2 linked regions of the Arabidopsis thaliana genome follow. The protein of the gene in region 1 interacts with the protein of each later gene in a pairwise test. Each region holds a gene or a part of one and is shown on either strand. Other genes may lie near its edges.

The links.
Region 2: the proteins of BPC7 (region 1) and GATA17 interact in a two-hybrid assay, tested with the Arabidopsis thaliana proteins (one large-scale study listed by BioGRID).

Annotation. Positions count from the first base shown.
Region 1 is NC_003071.7:14,924,414-14,941,063, forward strand, and holds BPC7 (basic pentacysteine 7), read left to right. Parts: upstream 1-4,882; 5' UTR 4,883-5,112; coding exon 5,113-5,199; intron 5,200-5,476; coding exon 5,477-6,205; 3' UTR 6,206-6,255; coding exon of another isoform or gene 6,256-6,361; 3' UTR 6,362-6,479; downstream 6,480-16,650. Other genes in the region: bZIP16 (basic region/leucine zipper transcription factor 16), read right to left, coding at 210-264, 437-606, 706-765, 857-946, 1,104-1,181, 1,262-1,318, 1,526-1,612; AT2G35540 (DNAJ heat shock N-terminal domain-containing protein), read left to right, coding at 2,745-4,517; AT2G35555 (serpin), read right to left, coding at 6,256-6,361, 6,829-7,091; AT2G35580 (Serine protease inhibitor (SERPIN) family protein), read right to left, coding at 9,415-10,149, 10,631-10,920, 10,970-11,069; AT2G35585 (cystic fibrosis transmembrane conductance regulator), read left to right, coding at 12,476-12,541, 12,943-13,119, 13,233-13,460. UniProt on the Arabidopsis thaliana protein: Transcriptional regulator that specifically binds to GA-rich elements (GAGA-repeats) present in regulatory sequences of genes involved in developmental processes.
Region 2 is NC_003074.8:5,758,656-5,774,865, reverse strand, and holds GATA17 (GATA transcription factor 17), read left to right. Parts: upstream 1-10,105; 5' UTR 10,106-10,289; coding exon 10,290-10,478; intron 10,479-10,730; coding exon 10,731-11,114; 3' UTR 11,115-11,369; downstream 11,370-16,210. Other genes in the region: AAE7 (acyl-activating enzyme 7), read left to right, coding at 65-655, 739-1,635; AT3G16900 (LURP-one-like protein (DUF567)), read right to left, coding at 2,017-2,130, 2,204-2,428, 2,542-2,760; AT3G16895 (Cysteine-rich protein), read left to right, coding at 3,350-3,434, 3,678-3,844; PPR40 (pentatricopeptide (PPR) domain protein 40), read left to right, coding at 4,486-6,465; AT3G16880 (F-box and associated interaction domains-containing protein), read right to left, coding at 7,036-8,133; COBL8 (COBRA-like protein 8 precursor), read left to right, coding at 12,762-13,302, 13,803-15,223; RR1 (response regulator 1), read right to left, coding at 15,727-15,795, 16,019-16,210. UniProt on the Arabidopsis thaliana protein: Transcriptional regulator that specifically binds 5'-GATA-3' or 5'-GAT-3' motifs within gene promoters.

The sequences.
Region 1 (16,650 bases):
AACACTCATAAAATTTAAATGAGAAATTCCAAGGGACTGACAGATCTGAATAGGTCAATCCAAATTCAGATTCATGCTAGATTCTTAGCAAACAAACTAGGTGTTCCCCATGAAACAGCGCCTCATCACAACATGGTTGCCAGAATGAATGCATACCAACAAAGATATAATTCAAATGAAAAGGCTGATGATAGCTATCCGAAACTTACATTTTGAGAGTTCCCATCACTTCCTTCACTTGAACCATCAGAAGCACTCTCCCCACTGTAACCAAACAATTCTGACAATCTCAGAGCAATAATAGAATGAATATTATCTAATGAAGTAGCATAAGTCCAAAAGGGGTCCTAGTCCAAACATAATAATATTTCCAAGATAACAACCATGCATACATGCCACGTCACATAGACCGGATAAAAACAAGCGTGTTACATGCCTTTTGGAGTAAGCTCCATTAGCTGATGCTCCTGAGTTTTTCCCAGGTTCATTGTTCTTTCCTGTAATCATGTTCAAACTTCCCAAGCTTCCTCTTGATCTTTTGATGGGCAATTTTTCCTTCACTTCAGATTGTTTAGCATCACCATCAGTGCCGCCTGTAGTATTGCCCTGCATAAAATCATCTCTCAATTATGTTCCTACAATAAGCAAAGGTAGCAAAGACCGTTTGAGAAAGAACGAATGAAGTATGATGGGACGCTAACTCACAGAAACTTCAGTCATTCCATTTGGAGAAGGCATAGCATAAGGGCTATAGGGATAAGAACCCTGATACAGAATGGAACATATTAAAGATATAATTAACAGCTACATTTTAATTTATGTTCACTGCAATTGAATCTACTACAGTTGGCAGTACCGGAGGCATTGAAGGATGTGCGTACATGCCACCTGGGGGATACATTGCAACATAAGGATGAGGCGGAGTTCCATAAGGAGGCATCATATGCTGCAAAATTTAATGTCTCATTCAGTAATCAATCAAAGATATGATGAAAGACAGCTGAACGAATTCGTTATAAGTCAATAAGAATGTTGCAATTTTCCAGCACTCTGAACACCGATAGACATCACAGTAAAAAGCGATAAAGCGTAAGCCAGTTCACCTGAACTCCCCACATATAAGGGTGAGGTTGGGGACTAGATGCCACATAACCATGAGGCGGCGGCATAGGAGAATATGCCTGTCGAAAAGAAAGCCGTAAAGATCAAATGCAACAAGAAAAGAGAGCGCAGATCCATAGATGGAGGAATCTGTCCTAACCTGAAAACCAGACCAATCTGGAGTAGCCATGCCAGCACTCACAGCCGATGAAGGTTCCTACAAACACAGAAATATTCCAACTAAAGCATATCACTGATAGGTATACAAAATCACAATTAGCTGAAATCTAGAATATTTTTATTTTCCTTTCTAGTATCTCACTTCTAATTCGGCTTCTAATAGCTTAAATCATGGGATTTGTTTTCCCTTTTTACATTATGGTCCTCTTAAGAAAATTGGAAGCAGAGAAGGGCAAACACAAACCTGTGAAGAGGGAGGGGCAGTAGAAGAAGGAGGAGGTGTTTTAGGTTCCTTCTCTTTACTCGATTTTTCCATCTCATTGCTAGCCATTATCACGTTCACTAATTCCTAAAACAACTCGTGATTGCTTCCTGCAAGACGAAGTCAGCTATAAGCTAACTCACTACGAGATCTACTCATGCATAAACTCAACACATCCAACAATTCAACATTTCAGCTAATAAGATGTTAGAGATTTCGTTCCAAACTTCTCCTATTGATCGTTGACCAATACAGCTATATATATATATATATATATATATTGATAATCCAACAACAGCTTAAAGGTCTAGTCTTTTTCTCAAGATGCAGAAACAGGTAAATAACAATGTCGGACCGGAGAAACACAATAACACAAAACCGAGAAGTATATATAGAAACCCTCGAAAAGCCCTAGAAAACTCAATCGAATTCAGAAGAGAAACGCTAAAATCTAACCCCAAAGATACAAACTTGGAGAGATGTGAACAGAAATACCTAACGACTGGTAATATTTGGAACCCCTCTGAGCACAATTTCAGATGCGGTGTGAATCTCTGAGCTTAATTTTGCAGAAATTTAAGAGAATCAATGTCTCTTGACCAAGATAAATAAATTTGCTTGATTTGTTTTTTGTTATCTGACGGAGAAGAAAGGGGGCGTGGAGTTCACGAGGAATAAAAATTGCTTCTTTGCCCAAATTTAAGTATTTTTATTAAAAGCCCTTCTTTATAACTTATTTATGAACTTTACCCATTTAAAGCCTTACAATAATTTGTAACCCACCCAAAATGTCACAATTTGATAAGGAAAAAAGTTTCTCCCCAATTGAAAAGGAAGATCTTTAAAATCAAAATTGACATAAATATATGGAAAAAGTGTCTTTGCAAAAGTATATTTTAAATGTTATGAATAGGTTTATGTATACAATACACATTGATAGAATGATAGTGCATTGACTCATTGGTAATGTTACATGTCATCAAAAACAATAAATGACTTTATGACAAAATAGTTAGGAACACTAACAAAAAAAACTATTGGGCAGAAAAGAGATTCTTAATAAATAAGAGGGTGATAAAGAAAATAATAAAAAGACTAGGGTGAGTGAATTCAAGGGAATAGAAAAAGCAGAGCTCTCTCTCTCTTTTTAGCCCTCTCTTTCAAAGTTGAAGTTTTTGAAGGCGTCTCCGGCTACACAGCAATGGCTTCTGGATCAGACTCAGAAGTAGAAAAGGAATCCATACACCACAAAGCACTAGCGGAATCGAGTTTCAATTGCGGTGATTTGATGTCGGCCTTAACTCACGCGCGGAAAGCTCTCAGCTTGTCTCCGAACACGGAAGGTTTATCCGCCATGGTCACCGCTTTCGAGATCATCAGCTCCGCCGCCACAGTCGCCGGAGGTTTTCCGGAATGGTACAAGGTTCTAAAGGTAGAGCCTTTTTCTCATATTAATACCATAAAACAACAGTATAGGAAGCTAGCTTTGGTGTTGCATCCTGATAAGAATCCGTATGTGGGGTGTGAGGAGGGGTTCAAACTTTTGAATGAGGCCTTTAGGGTTTTCTCTGATAAGGTTAGGAGGACTGAGTATGATATGAAGTTGAGGATTAGGATTCAGGGGGAAATGGTTAGCGGTGGTTCTGGTGGTGATGAAACGTCAACGTTTTCGGCGGTTTGTTCGGGTTGTAGGTCGGTGCATAAGTTTGATAGGAAGTATTTAGGACAAAATTTGATGTGCCCTACTTGCAAGAATAGTTTTGAGGCGAAGGAAGTTGAGAAGGAAGAAGAGGGTAGAGAAAATGGAGCTTGTACTTCCAAGATCATAACATATAGTAGGAGGAAGAGGCCTGTTGATAGCGATGGTGAAAGTCTGATAAAAGAAGTTGAGACAGGGGAGATGAGTCAGGAAGCAGCAGAAGCTATTAATGTATTTGAGGGGTCGGATGAAGAGGATGAAGGGATGATGACTTTGGCAGAAATGCAAGCGGTGATAAAGAGAAATAAGTCGAAGGTGAATTCGAAGATCACTGAGAAAGATAGCAGTGGAGAAGAAAACATGGGAAGGGAAACGCAGAAGAGATCTTTAGCTGATGCCTCCATGACTGAAACGTTAAGGGAGATGAGTACTAACGCAGTGAATAATAAACAAGAAGTTTTAAAGAATAGGAAGAATATAAAGAAGAAGAAGATGGCGAACCACAAGGATTTAACTGAGATAGTGGATTTAGAATACGTGCCTCGGGTTGATAGGAAGAGGGATCGTGGTAAGTTAAGCCAAGAAATGTATATGGAAGACGAGGATTTTGAACTGTATGATTTTGATAAGGACCGGATGCCGAGGAGCTTCAAGAAAGGGCAGATTTGGGCGATATATGATGGTGGTGATGACAAAATGCCTCGGAGTTACTGTTTAGTTAGTGAAGTAGTCTCTTTGAATCCTTTTAAGGTATGGATCAGCTGGTTGGATTTTGAGAGCGAGAAACTAATCTCTTGGATGAAGATTAGTTCTTCTCATATGCCTTGTGGTAGGTTCCGGGTTTCAGAGAAAGCTTTGATAGAACAAGTGAAACCATTCTCTCACCTTGTCAACTGCGAAAGGGCTGCACGAGAAATATACCAAATATATCCAAAGAAAGGCTCGGTTTGGGCAGTCTACTCAGAGACAAATCCAGGTCTTCAGAGAAGAAAGACCAGACGCTATGAGATTGTCGTATGCTTGACAATGTATACTGATGCATATGGATTAAGTGTAGCATATTTGGAGAAGGTTAACGACTATAGCAACCTGTTCAAGAGACGGGATTACGGGTATAATGCAGTCAGGTGGGTCGAGAAAGAAGATGTTGCAGCCTTGCTCTCTCATCAGATTCCGGCCAAGAAGCTGCCTGAAGATGAATCTGGAGCTGATCTGAAAGAGTCTTGGGTGCTTGATCTTGCTTCTGTTCCTCCTGATTTGGTTTCTGCCACTTAGTGAACATAGACACTTCTTTGTTTTCTGTTTCTCATCATCTCATGACAAAGAGAAACAAGCACTTCATGTCTATATTTGTCTAACTTAATCATATTAGTTTAGATCAACTATATTTAGTGCCCAAACCCAAAGTCCAAAGACTTTCCCACAAGTTTATAAATTGCATAGATAAGTTAAATATTGTGTTATATTACCAAATCTTAGTGGCAAAAAAATAAATTTTCAAAGTTTAATTATCTAATTGACTAATTGTAAACTTAAGAATTTTATATTGTTTAAAATATATGCATAAATTTCGCGTGGGGCAAAAAGAAACGGAGTTTAAAAATCGGTGAGCCCTAGAAATTCTCAAGGCCTCAAAGTGAATTATTTCGTCCATCAGAGGTTTGAGAGAGAAAGAGTGCGCAGAGTGAGCGAGAGCATAGCGGTGGAGTGTCGCCACTGGTAACTCCGACGATTTTTCTCGTTTGCGTAAGCCGAAAGATCACTCTTTTTTTGGTGTCGACTCTGTTTCTGCCGTATGATTCTTTTGGAACCCTAGTCACAGGTTTTTGATTTTGCATGGTTTATTGTAGCGAGTTAATTTTTTCCGCATATGGGTCTTGATTCTTCTTTCGTTAACTCTTCTGGGTTTGCCGATTTTCAATCAAACAATCTTGAAAGATCAAATCTTTTCCTCTACGTATGTAGTCTTTATATCTCTGTTTTATCTGTTCTGACTATCTGGGTTTCAATTATCAAGTTTGCTTATTTAGACTTATGCATATCAGATTCTGTCTTGTAAAATCTCTGTCTTTTGATTGAAAACTGATACTGGAAGTAAACTATAGATTATATTCTCTGTAAGTAGAGCATGTAGGTTGCTTCTGCATCTGTGTGTTGCTTAATAATGTTAGTACTTAGTATCAATTGTTGTTTGGAGGTGTTGGCTCATCTTATCTGCTTTTGAAATGATGTAGGAGCTGCAACGCGAAGGTGTGATCTTTCCACTGAAACTAGCTATCAAGATGAATTCATTTCCTGCACAAAACCTTATGCTATCTGCTACAAACGCAAACAAGGACTCAGGCTTGCGTACGTCTAATGCTCATTGGTTACATTCATGTATCGCCGTTCCAAAGACCACAGGCATTGATCTTTCTCAGGAACCTCCTGCTGAAGGTGTGATGGTGCCTCAATCTCATTTGTTTCCTCCTCCTATTAGAGATTCCAGAAACGATACTGAAACTGTGAAACAGAAGTCCGTAAATCAGTCTCCTTCGAAAGCTTTGAAGCCAAAACCGCAAAGGAAGAAACGCTCTGTATCCAACAAGTCAAAGAAAACACCTAGCATACCAGAAACAAAACGTGAGAAAAAGAATCTGGACATCAACATTGACATCTCAAGCTTTGATACTTCTGGGGTTCCTCCTCCTGTATGTTCATGTACAGGCGTTTCAAGGGTTTGCTACAAATGGGGCATGGGCGGTTGGCAATCCTCATGTTGTACCATCAGCATATCGACATACCCACTACCCATGAGCACAACAAGACCTGGAGCTCGTCTTGCAGGAAGAAAAATGAGCAATGGTGCTTATGTTAAGCTCCTTGCGAGGCTTGCGGACGAAGGCTATGACCTCTCTCACCCTCTTGATCTCAAGAACCATTGGGCCAGACACGGTACTAACAAGTTTGTGACCATCAAGTAGTCGTTTCATTAGTTGGGTTTGATTTAGATATTAGCTTTTGTGGCTTCTTTTTAAGTCCTTTTCACAGTCTTAGCCTTTTGGTATATATTTGGGAGTACTGTATTTGCTATAGTAGAGGTATCCTTTACTTGTTTCCCCTGAAGTAGAGTATATTTCCTGCAAAAATCCCAACAGTCGTGGAAACACATTATGGCATGAACTTGGGTAACTTCGGTCATGCAACACATTGCTTTGGAATTCACAAATAAATTTCAATAAGAAATGAATATTAGCGAATCAACAAGAGACTCTGTTTTGACTTCATACGAATATCCTGCAGGGATGGTCTTAAACTTAGGCAGTCATCATATATATTATAGGTGACTTCACACTCATACCAAATTAAAAGGAGATAAATCTATTAAAAAGATGAAAAAAACGAGGATTCAGTAAAGTCTTTAGAATCAACTTTCAACTCAAGTTGTGCATGGATGCAAATACGTCAAGAAAGTCATAAAGTCCCGAGACTTTTGACCTCAAATTAATGCTTAGAAGGATCCATGACTTGACCAAGGAACAGAATTAGTCCGCTTCTGTATTCTTTGACCAGGAAGAGGAAAGGATGATCAGCCACGAAGTCATACCTCTTCTCCGCAGGACCACAACAACCAACAAATATTACAGCAGCCGCTGCAGCTTTCGATCCCACTTCATCGACTTCGATGCAAGATTTGTGGATGATAGTGGATGGCACCTCCAAACCCAAACCCTTGAGAGCTTCAGAGGCTTCGAAACCAAAATCAAATTTAAACCTTGGAATCTTGAGTTCTCCTACATCTGCCCAGTGGCTAGGAATGTCCTCTTTGCCATTCAAGAATCCACGAGTAGAAGCTAATCTCTCCAACATTGCAGGTGTTAAGACTAAGTGGCTTAGACAAAAGAAAGATGAAGAGGAATGAGACACTCTGATTGCAACAGAGAGTCTGAAGTCTTCAAAGGAAAAGGTAAGTCTCTAAAGCGTGTGGAAGGTCTAAGGACAAGCATTAACGTTCTCATAGTTGCTTTCTCGTACGGATTCGCGACCCTACTTGAAAGAGCCAATGAGAGACCAGCTTGGAGACCAAGTTTAAGGACCACAAGTTTTGTCTTGTTTTGACTCTGTAACAGAGGAGTGAGACAAGTGAGAGAGAAGTAAGTGTAAGGCTAAGGGTTTGGGAAAACAGAGTGAACATAAGAGAGAGAGAGCTTTGTAAGTTCCTAGAGAGGGTGAGGGACAAAGCTGTAATCTTGAAGTGGTTTAGTGGATTCCGGGATTTTTCCCGGCGAGATGTAGGTTCCTCACGTTGAGGTTCCGAACTCGTTAAACCGTGTGTGTTCGTTTTTCCAGCCTTGCATCATTCTTCTTTAACAGCTCTGCATCACACTCATTCTCTGCATCTTCATAGTTAAACACTTCTCTATCTTTGCATAACTTTTTCTTTAAGTTTCAGTCTCTGCTCAACATTCTTCAAGTCAGTTCTTAATGCTTCAAGTTAGTAGTTGTGTGCTTGTGAGTAAGAAAGCTAGAGGTAAAGAGGCTAAAAACCTCACAGCAGGCAACCCATCTTTCTCATCAGGGAGATAGATTTGCATAGAGAAACCACGACTGTCTTCGCGTCCTTCTCTATACGGTAGATTGAGGACTTTGAAACCTTCTTAAACATCAAGACTGTCTTCGTGGGCACCGGTCATGAAGGGCACACGTACTTTGGTTCCATCAAGAAGGTGAAAGTCGGATTCTTTTGTTAGCGATGGATTGAATTGACTATCCCATCTTCCGTTGAAAAACAAGGCATTAGCAAATATGAGATCAGTCCAAGAAGAAGCAGAGTTTGGTGGAAGAAGATCAGTGATGAGTCCATTTGTCTGCTCTTCAACCCATGAATTCACCTCTTTATTCACTTCATCAGCCTTTCAAAAACAAAACAACAAAAAAAACAGAAAAGCTATCAACATCTATGATTTATGTAGAAGTTAGGTTAATTTGGATCAAAGAGAGTACCTTGGTGCGAAAGTCGACTTGGTTGAAAGCAGCTTTGTACGAATTCAGCAAGAGATCCTTGAAAGAAGGTTCCACGTAGAGAGTCTTTTCGATCCAGACGCCATTCGCTGCCGATATCGTCGGGCCGCCACTCGGGGTGCTGTCGGCGAGGATGGTGGTGACGATCCCGGAGGAGACAGCGTTAAGCTCATCGGGAGAACTGGCGGCGACAAAACTGAGGATGACGCTGAGTAACGCCGGCGAGAAGACGAGGTTCGAGGTTTTCCCGGCGGTGCTAGCGATAACGTGCTGAGTTAACCTCAGAATGATGTCGTTTAGGTTCCCAACTGACCCTTTCAGGTTCTCCAGGATGTCGTATTGATCATTTACTGATTCTTTCAGGTCCATCTTTCTCACGGCGAGGATAAGTTGGATTTTTTTGGATTCTCTTAAACCGACTTCTCTTGTTTTCTTTTATGTTTTGAACAAGTACCAGAGATGGTCTCGACAACGAGTACTTGTAGAAGGATCCAGAAGATCCACAAGTTAATATGAAAATATTTTATATTTATTATATTCATATGTAAAGATTTAGTTCTATCTTAGTTTAGGAAACCATTTTACTATATATAAACATATGTAACCCAAAGCTTATCATTATGAGAGTAAATATATATAACTTCTTCCAATTCCTAAACTCTCATCACATTATCGCTTTTCTTTGTAAGAACAGAACCAAATGATAGTGAATGTATCAAGAATAATTTTATAAGTAAATTGTATAAACCGATAATCGGTCCATAAATAAATAAATAGATATGAAATTAAGCAAGAAATCTGCAAATTTACACACATAAACCCTAATTACCTTGTTTTGAGCTAAAAGATCCTAACTTCTTCTTCTTCTTCTTTTTTTTCAAATTGAGGAAAAAAAAACCTTTGTAATTCAAGAATTTTCGATCGAGATTTCATAGTTATTTTCATACATTCTTAATATTAATTGTTTGTGAAACCTAGTTTATATAGCCATCATATTAGGCCAAAGAATAAAAATCATTGAAAAGAGATAAATCTTTTTAAAAAGATGAAAAGCACGAGGATTATAACTAAAGTCAATTTCAACTTTTAACTCAAGTGATGCATGGAATCAAATACGTCAAGAAAGTCATAAGAAGATTTTCCTCAAATCCCGAGACCTTTGGACATCAAATTAATGCTTAGAAGGATCCATGACTTGACCAAGGAACAAAACAAGTCCGCTTCTGTACTCTTTGACGATGAAGAGAAAAGGATGATCAGCCACGAAGTCATGCTTCTCTGGCGGAGGACGTCGACAACCAATTCCTCTGAATGCGGCAGCAGCTGCAGCTTTCGATCCCACTTCATCGACCTCGATACAAGACTTGTGCATGATCATGGACAATGGCACCACCAAACCAAAACCCTTGAGAGCTTCCGAGGCTTCGAAAGCAAAATCAAATTTAAACCTTGGAATCTTGAGTTCTTTGATAACCGCCGAGTGGCTAGGAAGGACCTCGTTGTCCTTCAAGAATCCACGAGTAGAAGCTAATCTCTCCAACATTGAAGGCAACCCATCTTTCTCATCAGGGAGATAGATTTGCATTGAGAAACTACGACTGTCTTCGCGTCCTCTTCTGTACTGTAGATTGATGACTTTGAAACCTTCGTAAACATGTGTGTATCTGCAGGAGGCACCAGTCATGAAGGGCACACGTACTTTGGTTCCATCAAGAAGGTGAAAGTCGGAATCTTTTGTTAGAGATGGATCGAATTGACTATCCCATCTTCCGTTGAAGAACAAGGCATTAGCAAATATGTGATCAGTCAAAGGAGCAGATTTAGGGTTTGATGGAAGAAGATTAGTGATGAGTCCATTTGTCTGCTTTTCAACCCATGAATTCACCTCTCTATTCACTTCATCAGCCTTCCAAAAACAAAACAAACAAACACAGAGAAGCTATCAACATCTGTGATTTGATTTCACAAAAGCCTTGTGTATATACTTTGACTAAGCACACTTTTCAATATATTAGTACAATCCCTAGTGATTTTGTATAGAAACCAGTTTTTAGCTAAGTTATTGATCACCGAATGATTTTCATATATATAGGTGAAAACTGAAGGAAATATTTGGAGAAGATTTAAGGGAATTAGGTTACACTAGCATTTTTTTTTTCCGGTCAATAATGTTATCCTTATACAGTTATACGCTAACATCTATGATTTGATTTTCACAAAGGCTTGGGTAAATCTGATTACGAACACATCTAAGTCTAAGCATGTTACTATGCTACATCTAAGCATGTCACTATGTTACATACATGATACAACTAAGCATGTAAAGTATAATATAATACCTAGTAAATATATAAAGGAGTTAGGTTTATTTGGATCAAAGAGAGTACCTTGGTGCGAAAGTCAACTCGATTGAAAGCAGCTTTGTACGAATTCAGCAAGAGATCCTTGAAAGAAGGTTCCACATTGAGAGTCTTTTCGATCCACAAGCCATTCGCTGCCGATATCGTCGGGCCGCCACTCGCGGTGCTGTCGGCGAGGACGGTGGTGACGATCTCGGAGGATACAGCGTGAAGCTTATCGGTTGAAGAAGCCTGAAGTAAAGAGACAATCTTGTCTGCGGTGTCTGTGTCTCCGGGAGAACTGGCGGCGATAATACTGAGGATGACGTTGATTAACGCTGGCGAGAAGACGAGGTTCGAGGTTTTTCGGGAGGTAGTGGCGATCACGTGCTGTCAACCTCAGAACAATGTCGTTTTGATTCCCTACTGATTCTTTCAGGTCCATCATGGCCTTATATTGCTTCTCTATTGATTCTTCCAGGTCCATCTTTCTTTTTTTGGTAGTGTCCAGTTCCATCTTTCTTACGGCGAGTTAAGTTGGATTTTTTTGGATTCTCTTAGACGACTTCTTTCTTTTACTTCTCTTCTTTTGTTTTATGTTTTTGAACTAAAACCTCTTAACACAACACAAGAACCCTAATTATAGAGTTATCATAAATTATAGTTCTCAATCAAATTAATATATTTGTATAATCATATTTTCCTAAATACGCTCACGTTTTATTTCCTTTTCTTTTAGTTAACTTTTTTTAATCCAAAGTTGTGCTGTTTTCTGATTTCTTTCTTTTATTTTCCTTTTAACATTAAAAGGAGACCGACATGGCTACATAAATTTCGCATGTGCGTGAAGTAAATTTGCACCGGGACATTGTTAAACTGACAAACAAATTGGTGTATTTTCAAGGGTCCAAAACCAAAATCAAAACTTTATTTCATGTAACTTGTGTCCATATTTAAAAATTCTAACTGAACCATAGTTTCTTTTGCAAATTTTGACTTGATTGCTTTCTTTTTTTGACATAACGATGACTTGATTGTTTGAGGTGTGTATTTTATAAGGTACATGGTACTTTTGCCACTGCTGGCTCTGATGGTGCTTTCAATTTCTAGGACAAGGATAGTAAACAAAGACTCAAGATATTTTCATTTGTTAAATCATCTGGATAGAGCTAATAACTTCACAATTAACTAATAACTACGAAAGCCAAAAGATTAGGCGAGATTAGGTAAGGTGTAGTGTAATAAATCTGGCTTTGAACGTAGTACGTAGCATTAGCTGATTAGATTAGTTTTTTTTTAATATACTTTTTTTCCTTGAAAAAGAATAACGACAAATTAGTTAGTACCTAGCCTGTCCTGAAAAAGAATACAAGATACTTCAATAACACTTGAGTTCTTGAGCTGGTGGTTCAAATAGCTTAATTATTACTAGTATTTTAGTCATATTAAATAATCCGTCTAGTTGATTTGTAGCTTTCTCGATGTGGATTGAATGAATAGTTTATTCTCTCAAGAACAAAACAATATAGCTGAACCAGAAAAAATTGTCATTTTCCAATAAGGGAATTATTTCATTTTAATAATGCGATGAATCATCATTTAATACTAATTTTCAAAGCCAAAGAAAAGTTGTTGAAGGATAAATTAGAAGAGACAGAAAGAAAGAAGCCATAACAGAGAATCTGTTCAAGCCAAGCAAAGCTTAAAGCTTAAAGCTGAGAAAGCATTTCTTATTATCTATCAGTCCACTGCAATATTCTGGAGATTTCTTTGTGGCTCTGCTTTTGTTCTTTTCTTCTACTGTTTATTTTGTGTGTTTTAGCTTGTGAAATTCAAAGTGAAGATCAAGAAATTCGTCTATTCCAAAAAAATCGTATAATCGAATTCAATAGCATGGTTGGTATTTTCTCCAGGTTTTCTGTTGTTAGAGGCAGCCATAGACGAACACAGAGTGCCATCGTAAGCTCTCTTTTCTATTTGCTTGTCTGATTCCAGTAGAGGTTATATGGAACATGATATTTTGTTCTGTTAGTTGTGTGCTTGAGCTTTATGTTCATAGTGATTCCTTTTTAGTATGACACTTCTCCAGTACATTTGTTTAATTGTTGGACAGATTCTTTGCTCATATCATAGATGCTAACTAGGCTCAAAGAGTTGATGATTAGAATGGGAGATGTTTAGTGCTTCTTCTGTTCTTTTGAGTTCCTTTCATTGGTTCAAGATTCTCTCTGTTCTTTTGTAATCTGATTACCTTTAATAGATTTCAAGCTATAGTTGAATCTGAGACCCTTTTATTTATCTGGAAAAGCCCTAAATTGGTTTCAGGCTACACTTGACATGAAATCTTCTCCTATGATCAGGATGGCAGGGAAGTATTGTCTCCAAGATCTGATCTTGCTCCGGCAACTAATACCACAACCACTGAAACTCATGGGATCGAAGTAGCAACAGAGTTTAAACCGGTGGATCACCCGATGGAGCCCTTAGACAACGATCAACCGATCCAATGTCCACTCCCAGAGCCATCCATTCTCAATGTAAGATTCTTGAAAAAGTTCCAAGAAAAGAAAAAATTAGTTTTTTTTGATAGTGAAAACTGCAAAGATAGGAGTGTTTGTAGAAAGCTTCACTCTATTTTTTATGATCACAGGACGGGAGACTCTGGAAAGAGAGAGTGTCGGCTTCTTCGATGAGGAGACGAAGTGATTTGGCTATTGTCCAAGATGGGATGGATGAAGAATCTGATGTTTCTGTGACGTCAATTCCATCGCGGACTAGCCAATGCAATACCAACCGTCCGATCTTGCCTTCACTTAGTGCGCCGGAACACGACTTGCTTAATCTACTAGAAGAATGCAAAGTATCTGGTAGTATCTAGCTAAGAACCTGCATGGATGGTCTAGACTCTTTTTACATTTATGTGTAAGAACAAAACCAACTCATAGTGAATGAATGTTATTATATCTAACTAAAATCATCCACTTCATCCTCCGATAAACATAAAAGAGACATTGTATATCCAATGTTTCCCAATTAAGAGCTAGCGTTTCGTTTCATCAATAGGCTGATGCTACAGCTGCTACAGTAGCTTGCATCACACGCCACACAAGTTTCATTCAATTTCTAGTTCCTTTTCCATGCATCGATTACATTTCGATCTCCCCATTTGGTTTAGGAAAATTATGAGCAGAGTCTTGGTTTACCGGCTTCAGGATGGTTTTGGCAACAACATACGTTGTGTTTTGTTACAATAATAATAAAAAAAAAACAAAGTTGAATTCGCATGCTGTTACTATGCTATAAGCAAAGAAATTGAAAAGAGTCTAACCACTTGAATCATTCAAAAGTAAAGGCATGGGAAAAATGAACCAATGAATAAAGGCATAAAGCTCATATCAAAACACCGAGAACTAGCTAACGACAAATCTCTAAAACTCAAATTTCCTTCCAAATTTAAAACCAGTGGGCATAAAAGTTCAAATACGTCAAGAACGTCATAAAAACATTTTCCTTAAGTCCCGAGACTTTGGACATCAAATTAGTGCTTAGAAGGATCCATGACATGACCAAGAAACAAAACTAGTCCGCTTATGTACTCTTTGACGATGAAGAGAAAAGGATGATCAGCCACGAAGTCATACTTCTTTGGCGGAAAATAACAACCTCCACATGATCTTAATGCGGCAGCAGCTGCAGCTTTCGATCCCACTTCATCGACCTCGATGCAAGACTTGTGGATGATCGTAGACAATGGCACCTTCAAACCCAAACCCTTGAGAGCTTTCGAGGCTTCGAAATCAAAAGCAAATTTAAACCTTGGAATCTTGAGTTCCTTGACACCCGCCTTCTGGCTAGGAAGAACCTTGTTGTCCTTCAAGAATCCACGAGTAGAAGCTAAGCTCTCCAGCATTGAAGGCAACCCATCTTTCTCATCAGGGAGATAGATTTGCATAGAGAAACCACGACTGTCTTCGCGTCCTTCTCTATACGGTAGATTGAGGACTTTGAAAGCTTCGTAAACATCAAGACTGTCTTCGTGGGCACCGGTCATGAAGGGCACACGTACTTTGGTTCCATCAAGAAGGTGAAAGTCGGATTCTTTTGTTAGCGATGGATTGAATTGACTATCCCATCTTCCGTTGAAAAACAAGGCATTAGCAAATATGAGATCAGTCAAAGGAGAAGCAGAGTTTGGTGGAAGAAGATCAGTGATGAGTCCATTTGTCTGCTCTTCAACCCATGAATTCACCTCTTTATTCACTTCATCAGCCTTTCAAAAACAATACAAACAAAAACAGAGAAGCTAGCTATCAATATCTGTGATTTGATTTCACAAAAGCCTTGTGTATACTTCAAAGCACAAACTATTAGTATAATCCCTAGTATTCCTATATACAATCTAGTATTTAGCTAAGTTATTCACCGAATATGTTCATATAAGTGAAACTGAAGGAAATATATGGAGAAGGTTTAAGGGAATTAGGTTTATTAGGTTACACTAACATCTGTGGTTTGATTTTCACACAAAAGCCTTGCCTAAATCTGATTACGCACACATCTAAGTCTAAATGTCTAAGCATGTTACTATCTTACATACATCAAAAGCATGTTAATGTTAGTACAAGCCCTAGTAAATTTATATAGAAGTTAGCAAGAGATCCTTGAAAGAAGGTTCCACAGAGAGAGTCTTTTCGATCCAAACGCCATTCGCTGCCAATATCGTCGGGCCGCCACTCGGGGTGCTGTCGGCGAGGATGGTGGTGACGATCCTGGAGAAGACAGCGTTAAGCTCATCCGTTGAAGAAGCCTGAAGTAAAGAGATAATCTGGTCTGAGTCCACCTCAGAACAATGTCGCTTTGAGTCCCTACTGATCCTTCCAGGTCGATAAGGATGTCGTATTGATCCTTTACTGCTTCTCGGTCCATCTTCTTTTACGAGAGTACGGCGTGTTAAGTTTGACTTCTTTGGATTCTCTTAGACTTAGACGATTAACACAATAACCTATTTATAGAGTTATCATAATTATTGACAAAACAAAGAGTTATCATAATTATATTTGAATCTTAAATAAAGGAATACTGTTATTTATTTCATTTCTTCTAGGAAATAAAATTTACATTAATAAATTCTCAAATATGCTAACTTCTATTTCATTTTATTTTCCTTTTCTTCTAGTTCATTTTTTATAGTCCAATTTCTTTTTATCTAACTTAATAATTTACTATTCATTGATTTTAAACCTTTTTATTTATCTTGTGTAATCGAATTATTTGTTGTCGATCCAGAAAATTGCGTATCGAATTCAATATCATTAATGGTATTTTCTCCATGTTTTCTGTTGTTAGAAGCCGGCCATAGGCGAACATGGAGTGCCATCGTAAGTTCTATTTTCTATTTGCTTGCCTGTATAGGTTATATGGAACATGAGATGTTGTTATGTTAGCTTTGTGCTTGAGCTTTATGTTCATAGTGACTCCTTCTTACTATGATTCTTCTCGAGTAGATTTGTTTTTTGGGCGGATTCTTTGTTTTTATGCTCTTGAGAAATTAAGTAAACAATTTAGGCTCAAAGAGTTGGTGATTAGACTTAGAGTTGCTTGTGTTCCATATTTTCAGTTGTATATTTTGAGTTAGTTTCATTGGTTCAAGCTAACCATTCTCTCTGTGTTTTTTTGTGATCTGATTCCGTTTAATAGATCTCATCAAAACTTTGTTTAAAATATAATTTTTCTAGGGTTGTTAGGTAGTTAGCCAAGGCAAATTAGAGAACAAACTGTGTTCTGTTTTGTTTAGTGATCTATCCATCATCGATAAACCTCTCTATTTATAAGTTTCACAGTTTTAGAATCATGTCAAAAAATGAACCAATAAATGAAGGCATAAAGCTCATCTCGTCGTCAGGAAAATTACATAGCTATCAAAACGTCGAGAAGTAGCTAACTACAAATCTCTAAACATAAATCAAATTTTCATTTTGTTTTCATATCACATTCTGATTTTCTTCAAAATTTTAGAAGATGAACAAAATTCTGATTTTTGTGTATACCTTTGTTGTGTTAAAGAAGAC
Region 2 (16,210 bases), on another chromosome or scaffold:
GGTTGTTTGGTCTTCTTGCAATCTGAGTAATTTCACTAGACCAGAAATGTTATTATTGTTTCAGGTGGCTATTATTGCACCTAACATCCCAGCAATGTACGAAGCTCATTTCGGAGTACCAATGTGTGGAGCTGTTCTGAATTGTGTCAACATCCGTCTCAATGCCCCAACAGTCGCTTTTCTTCTTAGTCACTCGCAGAGCTCTGTTATAATGGTGGATCAGGAGTTCTTTACTCTGGCTGAGGATTCTTTGAGACTTATGGAGGAGAAAGCTGGAAGTAGCTTCAAACGCCCGCTTTTAATCGTCATTGGTGATCACACCTGTGCTCCTGAGTCACTTAACCGGGCTTTGTCGAAGGGAGCTATAGAATATGAGGATTTTCTTGCAACCGGAGATCCAAATTATCCGTGGCAGCCACCAGCTGATGAGTGGCAGAGCATCGCTCTTGGTTATACCTCGGGAACAACTGCTAGTCCGAAAGGAGTGGTGCTTCATCATCGAGGTGCGTATATAATGGCTTTGAGCAATCCTCTCATTTGGGGGATGCAAGATGGTGCTGTTTACTTGTGGACTCTCCCTATGTTTCATTGCAACGGTTGGTGTTTCCCTTGGTCCCTTGCTGTGCTCTCTGGTACAAGCATCTGTCTCCGTCAGGTAGTACTTGAGAGAGTTACTTTTCACTTAAGAAAAGAAGTTCACATAAATCAGAAGAAGAGCTGATTAAATTTTGGTTTCAGGTTACGGCGAAGGAAGTGTATTCAATGATAGCCAAATACAAGGTAACTCATTTCTGTGCAGCTCCTGTGGTCCTCAACGCTATTGTCAATGCTCCTAAAGAAGACACTATCCTTCCTCTTCCCCATACAGTCCATGTCATGACAGCAGGAGCTGCTCCTCCACCTTCTGTTCTCTTCTCCATGAACCAGAAGGGCTTCCGAGTCGCTCACACCTATGGGCTTTCCGAGACTTATGGTCCTTCCACCGTATGCGCTTGGAAACCCGAGTGGGATTCCCTCCCTCCTGAGACGCAGGCCAAGCTCAATGCTCGCCAAGGTGTCCGCTATACTGGCATGGAGCAGCTTGATGTCATTGACACTCAGACCGGAAAACCTGTTCCTGCAGATGGAAAAACCGCAGGAGAAATTGTTTTCCGAGGGAATATGGTGATGAAAGGCTATCTAAAGAATCCGGAAGCGAACAAAGAGACATTTGCTGGTGGGTGGTTCCACTCGGGGGATATTGCAGTGAAACACCCAGACAACTATATCGAGATCAAGGACAGGTCAAAGGACGTTATAATCTCTGGGGGCGAGAATATCAGCAGTGTCGAAGTCGAAAACGTAGTGTACCATCACCCCGCGGTTCTTGAAGCCTCTGTTGTGGCCAGGCCAGACGAGCGGTGGCAAGAATCTCCGTGTGCGTTTGTGACACTTAAGAGCGATTACGAGAAGCATGACCAGAATAAGTTGGCTCAGGATATAATGAAATTCTGCCGGGAGAAGCTTCCGGCATATTGGGTCCCAAAGTCAGTGGTGTTTGGGCCGTTACCAAAGACAGCAACTGGAAAAATTCAGAAGCATATTCTGAGGACCAAGGCCAAAGAGATGGGACCAGTACCAAGAAGCAGGTTATAGGAAGTGATAAAGCTTTAAGAACAACATTTTGAAAATAATGTGTTGTATGTTTTTGCGGAACTTTGCCTTGTGTGTAAACTTTCAAATGATAACAGAAAATATTCTCTTTATTTTCAACGCTTTCATTGTGTTTATAAATCGTTTACTCTTGATTAATAACAGCGATAAAGATTGACATACTAATAGCAATGGTATAAACAACCATACTTAATTAAGTCCACAGAAAGATTTACACACTCTTGCAACAGCTTTTCTCACATTAAGCAACTCAAAACAATGGTGCTTTCACGTAACAAACATTGGCAAAACACACATGAGTCATACACATACAATAAACAAGGTATAAAAAGTCAACACTTGCCTTCAAGGCTCAAACTATTATCAGATCCCAGTCCCCATATTAATGAGGTCAAATATAAAGATAAGTGTAACAATAAAAGCATAGTCGACATTAGGATAAATTGTAGCCACTAATCTCTCATGTCCTTCATATACCTGTATAATATATGTGTAAGTAATCTATTCGAGTTATTTTTATCGCATTACTTATTTATTTGTTTGTTTATACCTGAGCGATGATTTTGGTAGAGTCTGCGACATAGATAGTACATGCACGTTTCATAAACCGACCTTTAATTGTGAAATCACAAGACGATTCTCTGGTCTGGTTATGTTTCAAGAATACTTCAACTCTTGTCTTCAATTGAACAGTCGAAGATCTTTTAACCGTGAAGATCTTATCATCTAAATCACTTCCTCTATACACTTGCCATCGATCGTGCTTACTTGTCACCTTTTTTACACATTCAAATCCAAGGCATAAACCAAGAAAATTCAACTCAGAAAAATCCGACCGATTAACTAAACAAAAATCAAGAGGTAATAACAAGTAACTATAATGAAAACCTTCATTTTCATGGTGACAATGGGAGAGTCATTAGGATCAACCAAGATTCTTTTGTTGTGGAGACCAAAGAGAGGCGTTTTGACTTTGAACACTTTGTTCCCGGTTGCGTCCTTCACTGTATCTCCGGTTATCGTTAGATCTAACGGCTGTGGACGAACAAACTCAGATCCTACGAGTGGTAGCATCGTGTTGCTGCTAGTGGGATCTTGTTTTGCCATTGTTGTTTGTTTCAAAGAAGATGATTAAAAAAAAAACAAGACATTTATCAACTTTCAACTTATTGATCTTTTTGGTCATCATGACTTTTTCCTAATTTATTATGAAACTAAAAAATATTTATTAACAAAAACAATAATGACTTTACAGATAATATTTAATTTTCCTTTCAATTTGTTTTGTCAATATCAATTTTGAAATCAGTTAAAATTTATAATATACCTAATTATAAAAAAAAAATTTCCAATATTGAATTATGAAATTAAAATCTCGCATTTAACTTGAGATATTGATTGAACATAATGACAACATATCCAACAAATTACCTTTGACCATATTCACAAGTGTCACACACTTTTTTCAATTTTTAAGTTCTCATTTAGGATTATTAATTGTAAATAATTATATATTCATAAATGTAAATGATTTTTTTTGCCAAAAATAAAAAACTTTGAGAAACAAAAATGGATCATCAATTAATTGTAATAAAACAAACTGAAGACCAAAAGTTATATATAAATAGTCAATCCTTAAGATCCTAAACAATAAAAACATTTGAATACCTCAAAAGAGTTCATAGAAAAATTTATTATGGGTAGTACGAAAACTTTGGTGACATGTTTCCTTGTAATAATACTTGCAGTTTCGTTGCCTAACAACAACGTTTTGGCTTCAGGTATTTTCAAAGTTTGGTTTAGCTATTTTGCAATTTAGTAGTGATCATTTCAAAGGCTATATATCTAAATATTTGGAATTCGTTATGATCACGTTTTTGTTTATATATATATTATACATGAATTCAAAAGTTTCGTTAAAAACTTTTATTTGGACATGTTATATAACTATTTTTTATTGGAATGATATAAAATTTACACATGTTGGTATTGATGATGTTTGATATATATGTGGACTTGTGTAGATGCAAGGATCGAAGGCTTCTCTTTTGACAACTGCAATATTAGGTGTTCCGAAGATTACTGGAATGATGAATGTAATAAGGACTGTCTTAGAGCTGGCTTTCAAAAAGGTGGACAGTGTGGTTCTCCTTGTATTCCATGTCCAGTGAAATGTTGTTGTCAAAAGTAATACAAACTTATAAATCCATTTTCTCTCAAAATTGATGATTCTAGCGTTGCCTTTATTTTCTCTAAGTTATTGGACTTGATTTGTATCTTATTCTTATAAATAAATGCAATGATATAAGAAAACTATATATATTGCAATAGTAATTTTTATAACATATTATTAATCATACATAAATAGCATAATAATGACTTCATCACAACTCTTTTTATTACATCTCTCATTAGCAATAACTTAATATTATCATAATATATTTTTGAAGATGAAGATGGAAATATTTAGTCAATGCTACAATTTAAGATAGAAATTAGAAAATTATCACTTAGAAATATAATTATTACAAGAAAATTAAAATTCATAGTAATCAAGAGATGGATAAACTATAATGAAAACCCTCATTTTCATGGTGGCAATGGAAGAGTCATTAGGATCAACCAAAATTCTTTTGTTTTTGTTTGTTTCAAAGGAGATGATCTTTTTGGTCATGACTTTTTCTTAATTTATTCTGAAACTAAAAAAAAAATTATTAAATTCGAACACATATTGATATTGGTGTATTAAACAGCGTCGTTTAGGAAACATCGTCTTGAGGTTAGAGACCAAATCAATGTTTCACTTGCACTCAGCTCCGTTCTGGTCACGACATGAGAGGCTTTGCTTCTTCAGCATCTAGAATAGCGACGGCGGCAGCAGCTTCCAAATCACTAAACGCTTCCACATCCGTAAACCCTAAGCTCTCAAAAACCCTAAACTCTTCAGGTAAACCCACCAATCCTCTGAACCAGCGTTACATTTCGCAAGTCATAGAGAGAAAAGATTGGTTTTTGATACTGAATCAAGAATTCACCACTCATCGAATTGGTCTCAACACTCGATTCGTCATCAGCGTTTTGCAGAATCAAGACAACCCATTACACTCCCTGCGATTTTACCTCTGGGTCTCCAACTTCGACCCGGTTTACGCTAAGGATCAGTCTCTGAAGAGTGTTCTAGGGAACGCACTTTTTCGTAAAGGCCCCTTATTGTTGTCTATGGAATTGCTTAAAGAGATTAGAGATTCAGGGTATCGGATTAGTGATGAATTGATGTGTGTTTTGATCGGAAGCTGGGGAAGATTAGGTTTAGCTAAGTACTGTAATGATGTTTTTGCTCAGATATCTTTTCTTGGAATGAAACCAAGTACAAGGCTTTATAATGCTGTGATTGATGCGTTGGTGAAGTCTAATTCACTTGATTTGGCTTACCTCAAGTTTCAGCAGATGCGTAGTGATGGCTGTAAACCGGATCGGTTTACCTATAATATACTTATACATGGTGTTTGCAAGAAGGGTGTGGTTGATGAAGCTATTCGATTGGTTAAACAGATGGAACAGGAAGGGAATAGACCCAATGTGTTCACATACACGATTTTGATCGACGGGTTTTTGATAGCAGGGAGGGTTGATGAGGCGTTGAAGCAATTGGAGATGATGCGGGTGAGAAAGTTGAATCCTAATGAAGCTACAATCAGAACTTTCGTACACGGGATTTTCCGTTGCTTGCCGCCGTGTAAAGCGTTTGAGGTTTTGGTTGGGTTTATGGAGAAAGACTCAAACTTGCAAAGAGTTGGTTACGATGCTGTGTTGTATTGTCTTTCAAACAACTCAATGGCTAAAGAGACTGGTCAATTCTTGAGGAAGATAGGTGAGAGAGGTTATATTCCGGATAGCTCAACATTCAATGCTGCGATGAGTTGTCTCCTAAAAGGGCATGATCTTGTTGAGACTTGTAGGATATTTGACGGTTTTGTCAGCCGTGGAGTTAAGCCAGGATTCAATGGTTATCTTGTGTTAGTTCAAGCTCTGTTGAATGCTCAGAGGTTCTCTGAAGGTGACCGGTATCTGAAACAAATGGGTGTTGACGGGCTTCTATCAAGTGTATATAGTTATAATGCGGTAATTGACTGTCTCTGCAAGGCTCGACGCATAGAGAATGCAGCTATGTTCTTAACAGAGATGCAGGATAGAGGTATTTCTCCGAATCTCGTAACTTTCAATACCTTTCTGAGCGGTTATAGCGTGAGGGGTGATGTAAAGAAGGTTCACGGCGTGCTAGAGAAGCTTCTTGTACATGGTTTCAAACCAGACGTGATCACTTTCAGTTTGATCATAAACTGTCTTTGCAGAGCAAAAGAAATTAAAGATGCATTTGACTGTTTCAAGGAGATGTTGGAATGGGGTATTGAGCCAAACGAGATCACATACAATATCTTGATTCGCTCCTGTTGTTCCACCGGAGATACCGATAGATCAGTGAAGCTGTTTGCGAAGATGAAGGAAAACGGGTTAAGTCCAGACCTTTATGCGTACAATGCGACTATTCAGAGTTTTTGCAAGATGAGAAAGGTTAAGAAGGCTGAGGAATTGCTTAAAACAATGCTGAGAATTGGTTTGAAACCAGATAACTTTACATATAGCACTCTCATCAAAGCTCTAAGTGAATCTGGAAGAGAGAGTGAAGCAAGAGAGATGTTCAGTTCAATCGAAAGACATGGATGTGTTCCAGATTCATATACTAAGCGTCTTGTTGAAGAACTTGACCTAAGAAAAAGTGGACTCTCGAGAGAAACCGTGTCAGCCTCATAGAAATTGAATCCTCGAGAGTGTGAATATCCTATGAAGGCTTAGAAACCGGAAAAGTGGGTTCGTTTCATTTGGAAATGTCTGAGAAAGAACCCGATCTTTGCCACGGGTTGCCTCTTTGATGCAGACGGAAGAGAAACAGAACATGAGTGCAAAATGCAGAACAGAGTATTAAGTTTTGTTCTTTTGATTGATCAAAGCTTTTATATATTTCTGAGTCCGAGAAAGTGGCGGCAATAGTAATGGCAGTTGGTTGGTACTTGACAGTCAAAAGGCAAAAGATTTTGTATGTTTAGCACTAGATAGCCTTGGCCCTAATTTATACCCTTACCGTGTAACAGTTTAGGAAACAACAGTTTTGCCAGATTATATTGGACATGAGTATTGAATGATTTTGTTGTTTCGATCTCAAACTAGTATGCTTAACAATCTTTTTTTCAACGTAAGAGATGAGAAACGAACTAAGAATAGACCAATATTGTTCAGGAATCAGGAAGCTGAGAAAAGAAGACAAAGCAAGAGTAGTAGTAATTAAACAATGCAAGAACCAAATATTTGGGTATTGTAAATGGACTAGTTGCTTTTGCCTTTTGCCAGTTGCTTGATTTCCACTGAACTTGGTACATAAGAGCACCTAACAGGAAAACTTTCAGAATCTCCGAGATCCACTTTTCTGAAGTATCCATTCTCTCCAATGATGTAAGCTGTGATACGGTTTCTCATCTCTTTGTCCTTATCAAAAACCACAACTACTTTCTTCTCCTCGTCAATGAAGAAAATTCCATCATCAATAATGAGTGGTTTCATGTCCACTGTTAAGAACAACTTTCCCCACGACACATTGTTGGGCTCAATCTTGTTAGTAATCCATATCTCCATCCTTGATATATTGCAGCGGTGAAGTAACACTGCAAGTTTCTCTTCTCTAACACTAGAGAGAGCCACAATATCTCCACAACGAGAGTGGAACGGCAGAGGCAGAGTCGGTCCAAATCTCTCTGTTGTAAAATCAAAAGAAATCAAGAAGTCACCCCTATAATCAGTATACGTATAAGAATTTCCTTTCACAGAGACATCCATTTTATAAAAGGCTGTCGCCCAATTGGAATTGACATCAAGAGCCCTCCATGAATTAGAGTCTAACTCATAGATTTCGTAGTCAACACGTTCATCATCAATATTTATATAATTGTGTTCAGAACTCAAAATTTTGTAGCTGCGGCACGATTTTTTCGTCTCGTATCCAATAGCATATATATATGCGTGATGGCTTCTAGGTTTGATCCACCGAGTTTGCCCCAAATACGGATTCCAAACCACATCTCTAGTGTTACTGAAGCTTTTTGTGATGCATACCAAACCACCGCAATGATAGACTCGACACATACCGATTGGGTTAATAATTTTACCATTACACTTTATAGATGGTTCAACGTCTTCTTCCTTGTTGAGATTGATGTTCATTAAACAAAACTTAGAATCCATCATCATGATCACCATAAATTCCTTGGCAGCTTTTGTTTGAACGAGTTGCTTCTTTGTAAAGCTTTCTTCTTTGGCTAAAGTGTTCCACTTTTTGCAAGTCAATCGTATTGCTCTCATAGAATACAGTGGACTTCTAGAGAGTATCTCCTCCAACAAATCATTCGGAAGTTTGGACATCTTTGTCATTGTTTCAGCACTCAAGGATGATCAATGTAATAGAAATTTAGGGTTTTACTCTCACGCTTTCCTAATCTTTTTAATCGACAAGAAATAAGTTAGGTAACAACTTTATATGCCAACTTTCAAAAGTTATTTCCGTGAAAAAAGAAAAGGAAACAATAATTCTTTTTACTCCCTAATGGGCTAATTAGTATAATTAAACCACTATAGTGTAAAAATTAAGGAAACAATAATTCTTTGGCCAGATTCTATTTTACATGAGCATTGAAGGACTTTAGTCTTGTTTACCTCGAACACTAAATAACAAAGGTTATATTTTATAGAACCCAAAAAACAAGTCTTTATTAGGTCTTTACGTCTTTATCTCCTCCAACAAATCCATTGGAATATTGGATATCTTCGTCATTGTCTCAGCAAGGTTTCGATGATGTAGAAAATAGGTTTTTTTTTTTTGACTTCATAGAAAATAGGGTTTTTTAATTTAGAGTTATATAGTCAAATAAGTTACGTTACTTTTTTATGCGGCGACCTTCAAAAGCTCTTTCCAGTTCCAATTTTCCAATTTTGTTGTATTTTGTACTAATTTCCTATATTATGGTAAAGGGCTTGTCTATGGAATTAAGCCCAATCTTTTAACTTTATAATCGGTCTTGTTTTTTGCTGATGGTTTCTGCAATGTGGTTGTTTGAGGAGCTTTGTGGTCCTAACTTGGCATCCAAGGAAGAAAACCTTGTCTTTGTAGAACTTTGAGGTTAATTTAGTCCTACAACTGCGAGGTTAATTTCTTTCTTCCTTAATAATCTGCTTGGCAAAGGGTCATATCAATGCTCAAGTACGAGTTACATTGATACACAAAGAATTTCAAATATTGAAATTATCTCATCTTATTGGTGAAGTCTTACATATGTTGCAGAGTGAAGCTCCAGAACTCACCCAAAAAAATGCTCTGATGCATACGAAGGAAACTCATAATCTCACTCTTTGTCTTGATGATAAATATGTTTGGTCATTGGTGGTCAGGTCTCAAATCATCTTTCTGTTGTGATATGATGAATTACTGCATGAATATGTCAAAGAGAAACTATCTTCTTTTTCATGTTAAAAGAACACACTGATTAACAATTCCTCTAGTTCCTCTATTACTAACAGAAATGATCATTGAAAAATTAAACGGAGGCTGATCACTTTTCAATTCCATCATATATAAACTGTTTGGAATAAAATCAAATATGCCTTAGTTAATAATTCATACAAGACATGAGAATACAAACTAATTTTGGATTTGCACTAAACTTGAAACATAAGTGGGGAAGAAGTTATGTTTGAAGATTCTTTGAAATTCACTTTTTTGAAAATATCCATCCTCACTCCAATGTTTAGAGTTCACACCGAACATCTTCGTAAGACCAAGATTGAACAAACCTCAAAACTTTGTGGTTGAGGCCGCATGATTTGTCATCCACGTATCCTATGCCATACTTAATCCTACGGTGACAACTTAACGGTTCGAACCACCGGGTTTTCTTTGTGGGTAGGTGCATCTGTACTGTAATTTCTTCTTCTGTAGCTCAACTAAAAAACTGTACTGCGTTATCATGCTCATGGGCCTGGACTATCAAATTGAGCCCAATGGATATTTATCTTACAGAATTTTGCCATTATTTTTTTGTTTTTTTATTAATAATCCAGTCATCATTCATAAGTTTTTAAAAAATTCATTTGTTGCATTGATTGTAAATAAAACCGACGTAAAACTTTATTAGTTTATTATAAATTTTGACATTAGAAATAAAATAAAACCAAAAACTGAAAAAAAAAAAAACGTGAAAACAGATTATTGTCAGGACAGCGACCAATAACAAACCCTAGCCGCAAAATTTGAAAGCGGCTAGTTTTAAAAAACAAAAAATCAAAACATTGTTTCAGATTTTAGTTATAAGTTTTTGGGCGGGTGGCACAAAATTAATAAAAGCTCCCGCTCGAGGGTATTTTAGTCAATTCAAATAACCCGAAATACTAGGGTTTCCGCCCCCGCCTTCCTCCTCAATTATAAAATTCCTCTCCGTTTGTTTAATTCTGTTGCTACTAACCGCCGTCTCTCTCTCTCTCCCTCTTCCTTATCATCAAAACTTGCTCTGCTCCGATCTCTTAAAAAAAAAAAGATGTCTGAGGGATCAGAAGATACGAAAACAAAACTCGACTCTGCCGGAGAGTTATCAGATGTTGATAACGAGAACTGCAGTAGCAGCGGAAGTGGCGGTGGTAGTAGTTCTGGTGATACCAAAAGGACTTGCGTTGATTGCGGAACTATCCGAACTCCTCTTTGGCGTGGTGGTCCTGCCGGACCAAAGGTGAGATTTTTAACTAACCCTTTCATTTCAATCTTCTTATAGTCTATTGGGTTGTTGTTAGATTCCGATCTAGTAGATCTAATCAATGGATCGCGAAATAGCATCTATATTATGCATGATCCTATTTTAGGTTTTATCGTTTTTCAAATTTATTTAGGTGATGAATCAATTTAGTGACCGGAAAGATCTGATCTCATATTGCTCTGAAGTTCAAATTTTTCTTATTTCTTTGGTTTGTCTTTTGCTATGTAGTCATTGTGCAATGCTTGTGGGATCAAGAGTAGGAAGAAGAGACAAGCAGCACTTGGTATGAGATCAGAGGAGAAGAAGAAGAACAGAAAAAGCAATTGCAATAATGATCTAAACCTCGACCATCGAAACGCCAAGAAATACAAAATCAACATAGTTGATGATGGCAAGATCGACATCGATGATGATCCGAAAATTTGCAATAACAAGCGTAGTAGTAGTAGTAGCAGTAACAAAGGAGTGAGTAAGTTTTTGGATTTAGGGTTTAAAGTACCGGTGATGAAGAGATCAGCGGTTGAGAAGAAGAGGTTATGGAGAAAACTCGGTGAGGAAGAAAGAGCTGCTGTGCTTCTCATGGCTCTCTCTTGTAGCTCTGTTTACGCCTAAGTGTTTCTCTGTATTAGGTCATAATCAAGTGAGAGCGATTTTGATTAACTTAATTAGATAGAGATAATATGTAATGAATGTGTAAGTTCCTAGTTTTTTGGTTCCACTAATGTTTTGTGTTCATTTTCTTGATGAATTCAAATATCAACACTTTTTTTTGGTTCTTAGTCATTCAATGCCATAATAATGAGAATTGGTCTTAATTTTTAGTGCCTCAAATGTCATTCTCTGTGTATGGGCCCATATGGCCCAAGATATTGGGCTTTATCGGGGGAATCGTGAGGCGCGTGATTCTAGTTGTCTTGTCTCCGTCAACTCCACCATTTTTTTGTTTTTTGGTCCATTGATGTCGTTTTTCATTTGATTTGAATTTTTATATGCTTTTGAATTCACAACTGGTTTCAAATTCAGATTTTGTATGGTTTAGAGTTTTTTTTATATATATATCATGCTGAGGTTGTATACTTCGATTTGTTTTTTCATTTTATTGAAGGATGGCAATTTTTCGATTTGCACTTGGCAGAGTATCTGTTTGTGTGATTAAAAGTTGTTATGGTAACTTTGTAACAGGGACAGTGTAAATTTTCGATTTGCAATTGGTTTTGTTTTTCATGTAAGCGTATGATTCAACCTTAATAAGCCATCATTAATAATTAATAATGGTGGACCAACAAAATTTTAAGTAATGTTAAATATGGCAAAGTCATGAATCATACTTATAATTTTTTTTTAAAAATCTAAAGTGGTGACGAAAATATAATTCATTTAAATGGATCACTGGTGGACGAATGGTGTGAGTGTGACATGGCTAGGTAGAGCCGTGAACCTCGAGAATGATTCAAATTAACGGGGCAACTTCGTTCAACGGGGGACTTTCTTTTGACCAAAGCTTCTATTTATGTGTTTCACCCTTATATTATGCAGTTTCTTCGATTTAGGACCATTACTTCCATTGATTCCTTTATTTTCCTAAGCAAAGAGTACAATTTAGGAATAACTTGTCGATATTTTCCATAAACACCATTTCTTAATTTTGGAGATACGTTTTCCTTATTATTTTTCACAAATTCAAACAAAATCTTCATAATATATTTTAGCTATCAAATCACACTCTCAATACATTCAAAACTTCCATAAACACTCTTAGAAATCACTAAAATTTAGTAGACAGAAATATCAGTAAATATTTGAATATAAGTCATTTAAGCGAACATTCTATAAACTGTGTTTGGTATCAATGTTTTATAGCTAACGATTAGGTGTAAATTACACATTCACATAATTACTAAGATATAGGTTGGGGTTGCATTTTTTTATTAACAGAAATATATGGTTCATCTTGTAATTTGAAAACTTAAACCCACTATTTTATAATTTTGTCAGAAGAACAAAACCTTGTCTTTGGCTTTTGTTCGTAACCTTTGTTTACTTGATCAAGAAAAAACATTAAAATCCGACCAAACAAGGAAATATACACATTTTCAACGCGGACATAAATTTTCATTACAGCGTCTTACTAAGCTGTTCTGTTCTTTAACGCGGTCTCTTCCTCTCTTCAAAATTAAACTTCCGATTTTTCACCTTTTCATTTCCAGAATTTGTTTTTTAAAAAAGAGATTTTTGTGAGTGAAGAGATTTAGAGTAATCATGGGTTTAACTCGAAATTTCATTTTATGGATTCTTTTGTCATCTCTCTTCACGGCGATTCAACTAACGTCGTCTCAACGCAACACTCCACCACCACGCTCTAAAGACGCCGATCTCTGCAACGGCGTGTTCGTTTCCTACACTTACTTAACCGGTACCAAGATTAAACCAAACGACACGAAGAACCAGCCGTACCGGTTCGAATCAGAGATCACGGTCCTAAACAACGGCCGCGACGAGCTTAAATCGTGGCAAGTCTTTGTTAAATTCGCCCACCGCGAGATTCTTGTTTCAGCGACCAACGCTGTTCTCTCTGACGGTTCTAGCCTCCCGGCTAGCGTTGAGAACGGGACAATCTTCGCCGGGTTTCCATCGGCGGATTTGAAGACGGCGATCATGACGGCCGGCGACGTAACTCAGATGGAAGCACGTGTTGAGCTCGTGGGTACTCAGTTTGGAGTTGCTCCGCCGAGTGTTCCGCTTCCGAAGAACATCACTCTTGTTAATGATGGATGGTCTTGTCCTAAACCCACTCAACAAGGTATCAAAATCATCTGAATCTTATGACTTGAAATCTTGAGATTTTTTAATGTATTTTTTCATTTCTCGTTTAATTGTTCATAATTTTTTTAATGAATTGTTGCAATTTTAAATATTATGTGATCTTGGGTTGCTTATGAAGGCATTACCAAGAGTTTTAAAAGTCGAGCAATATGATCACATTGACCAGGTCTATTTGTGATCAATAGAGTGGTTGAAAAATTCTATTGTTTATATAGATTTCTTGTAAACTAAAAGTTTGAACTAGTCTTATTAGCAATTGAGATTAGACCTTAAGTTTACTTAGGAAACTATCTCATGCTTGGCTTTTCTGATAAATGTGTGGAATATCTGATTAAACATTTTGGAATTTAAGCTGTTCAGTTTGCATATTTGTTTTTCTTTTACTTCTTGATCATAATAAGACTCTTATTGCTGCGAGCATAAATGTTTCCTTTGTGTTTCACTGACATTTCTTTTCTTCTCTATGGCTTTTTCCAGGTAGTAATGTTCTGCAAGTATGTTGCACACCGAATCCGAACATTACAACAAGCAAAATTGGTCAAAAGTTCCTTCCTAGGCAAGAAGGAGATCTAACCATAATGTACGATGTGACCAGAGCATATCAGTCGAGTTACTCAGCGCAGGTCACTATCGAGAATCATAACCTGCTTGGTCGGCTTGACAATTGGGATCTAAGTTTTATGTGGATGAAAGATGAGTTTCTCTTCTCAACCAAAGGAGCTTATCCAAGTGTTGTCGATTCGTCGGATTGCATCACTGGTCCTCAAGCAAAATACTATAAAGATCTTGACTTCTCTAATGTCATGAGCTGTGCAAGAAGGCCACACATCATAGACCTACCCCTGACTAAGTATAACGATACCAATGTCGGGCGTATCCCATACTGCTGCAGAAATGGAACTATTCTGCCACGGTCCATGGATCCAGAGAAGTCTAAATCGGTTTTTCAAATAGAAGTTTACAAAATGCCTCCTGATCTCAACATCTCCTCTATAACACCTCCCCAGAGCTGGCAGATTAAAGGTAACCTTAACCCGGATTACAAATGTGGCCCTCCTCTTCGTGTCAGCTCAAGCCAGTTCCCTGATACAAGCGGTTTGCCTTCAAACAAGAGTGCATTTGCTAGCTGGCAAGTCGTCTGCAACATCACTCAACCAACTCCTCCTAAATGCTGCGTCTCATTCTCTTCTTATTTCAATGACTCAGTAATCCCGTGTAAGACCTGCGCTTGTGGAGGTTGCTCTAGCGACAGAGTGGCGCGTACTTGCAGCACAACTTCTCCAGCTCTTCCTCTTCCATATCAGGCTCTTCTAATTCCATTTGACAACCGAACCAAACTTACCAACGCTTGGGCAGTGTTAAAAAACCGGAAAGTCCCGGACCCATTACCTTGTGGAGATAACTGTGGAGTCAGCATAAACTGGCACCTAGCTACAGACTATCGAGGCGGATGGACTGCTCGAGTCACACTCTTCAACTGGGGTGATACTGATTTCGTGGATTGGTTTACCGCGGTTGAACTGAGAAATGCTGCACCCGGTTTTCAGAAAGCGTACTCGTTTAACGGAAGTATCATCGCGGTCAACGGGAAGAACACAACTGTTTTAATGGAAGGGCTCCCTGGACTGAACTATCTCCTTGCAGAGAAAGACGGAAAAAACCCGAGTGAAGACTTTCGGATACCCGGGAAACAGCAGTCGGTTATCTCCTTCACCAAGAAACTGACTCCTGGAATCAAAGTTGGTTCCAAAGATGGGTTTCCCACCAAAGTACTCTTCAACGGCCAGGAATGTTCACTCCCTTCTGTACTACCCACGAGCAACAGTCACAGGAAACATGTATCCACCTTTCTTCTCATCCTGACACCATTTTTGGCTCTACTGTTTCTTCGGATTTAAAAGTTCCAGTGAAGGACTTTCCTCATTAGCCAGAAAATATACAGTTTTCTTGATTCTTTCTAACCAGATTTGATGCAGAATTACTTCTACTACTAGTGGTGCTTTGTGCACCGTGTGATTCTTGAATTTCGTATGATCAGATTTTAGTAATCAGTATGTATACATACAAATATTGAACAGACAAATCCCTTTGTGTTTTGATCTTGAATTGCTTTGATTTCACGTTGTGGCGTTGTACTAAATTAAGTTTGTTCGAATTATTCTAAGCATTTACTCGAAATACATACTTACAAAACCCTAAACAGCCTCACTACATAAATGAGGAACAAAAGAATCTCCAAGGATATTAACCCCTAACATGAATAATTATTTCTTATATAATCTGCCATTTAAAATTTCATGCAGACTACATATATATCAAACAAGTTTTAGTAGATCGTCGTGTAAAAATGATACAGTACAGATCCGGGTAGTCCCTCCGGTTTATCGGTTTTTTTATCCAATCAAACCGGAATGTTATCGATGGAGTATGCGTCAAAGTCGAATTCGCCATCAACCGGTGCAATCCCTTCCTGTATATCAATAATTCAAGATTGTGTTTTTCAACTTTTTTGGTTCACTGATTTTTTTTGTTATTTAGTTGTAATTTGCATTATTATGAAAAAGACATGCGACCAATGGTGAGAAAGCGTCTGAGAGTTGTTATATATTTGATTTTGAACGCAAACATGTACGTTGACGGATCAGATTATGCTTCTATATAAGTTTGACAAAAAAAAAAAAATCAAATCAAACCTGCTTAAGAAGTGCGCTCATAAGATCTTCTTGATTACTATACTGCTCGTGAAACGCCATTGTTGCTGTATCCGTAGCCACTCTCTCTGATTTCACCCTCACTGAACCACCGTTTCCGTCTGCATAAACCTGATGGTGCTGTACCATTCCCGATGGTGGCTGCTGGTGGTTTCGGCCATGCTCGGTGGCTGC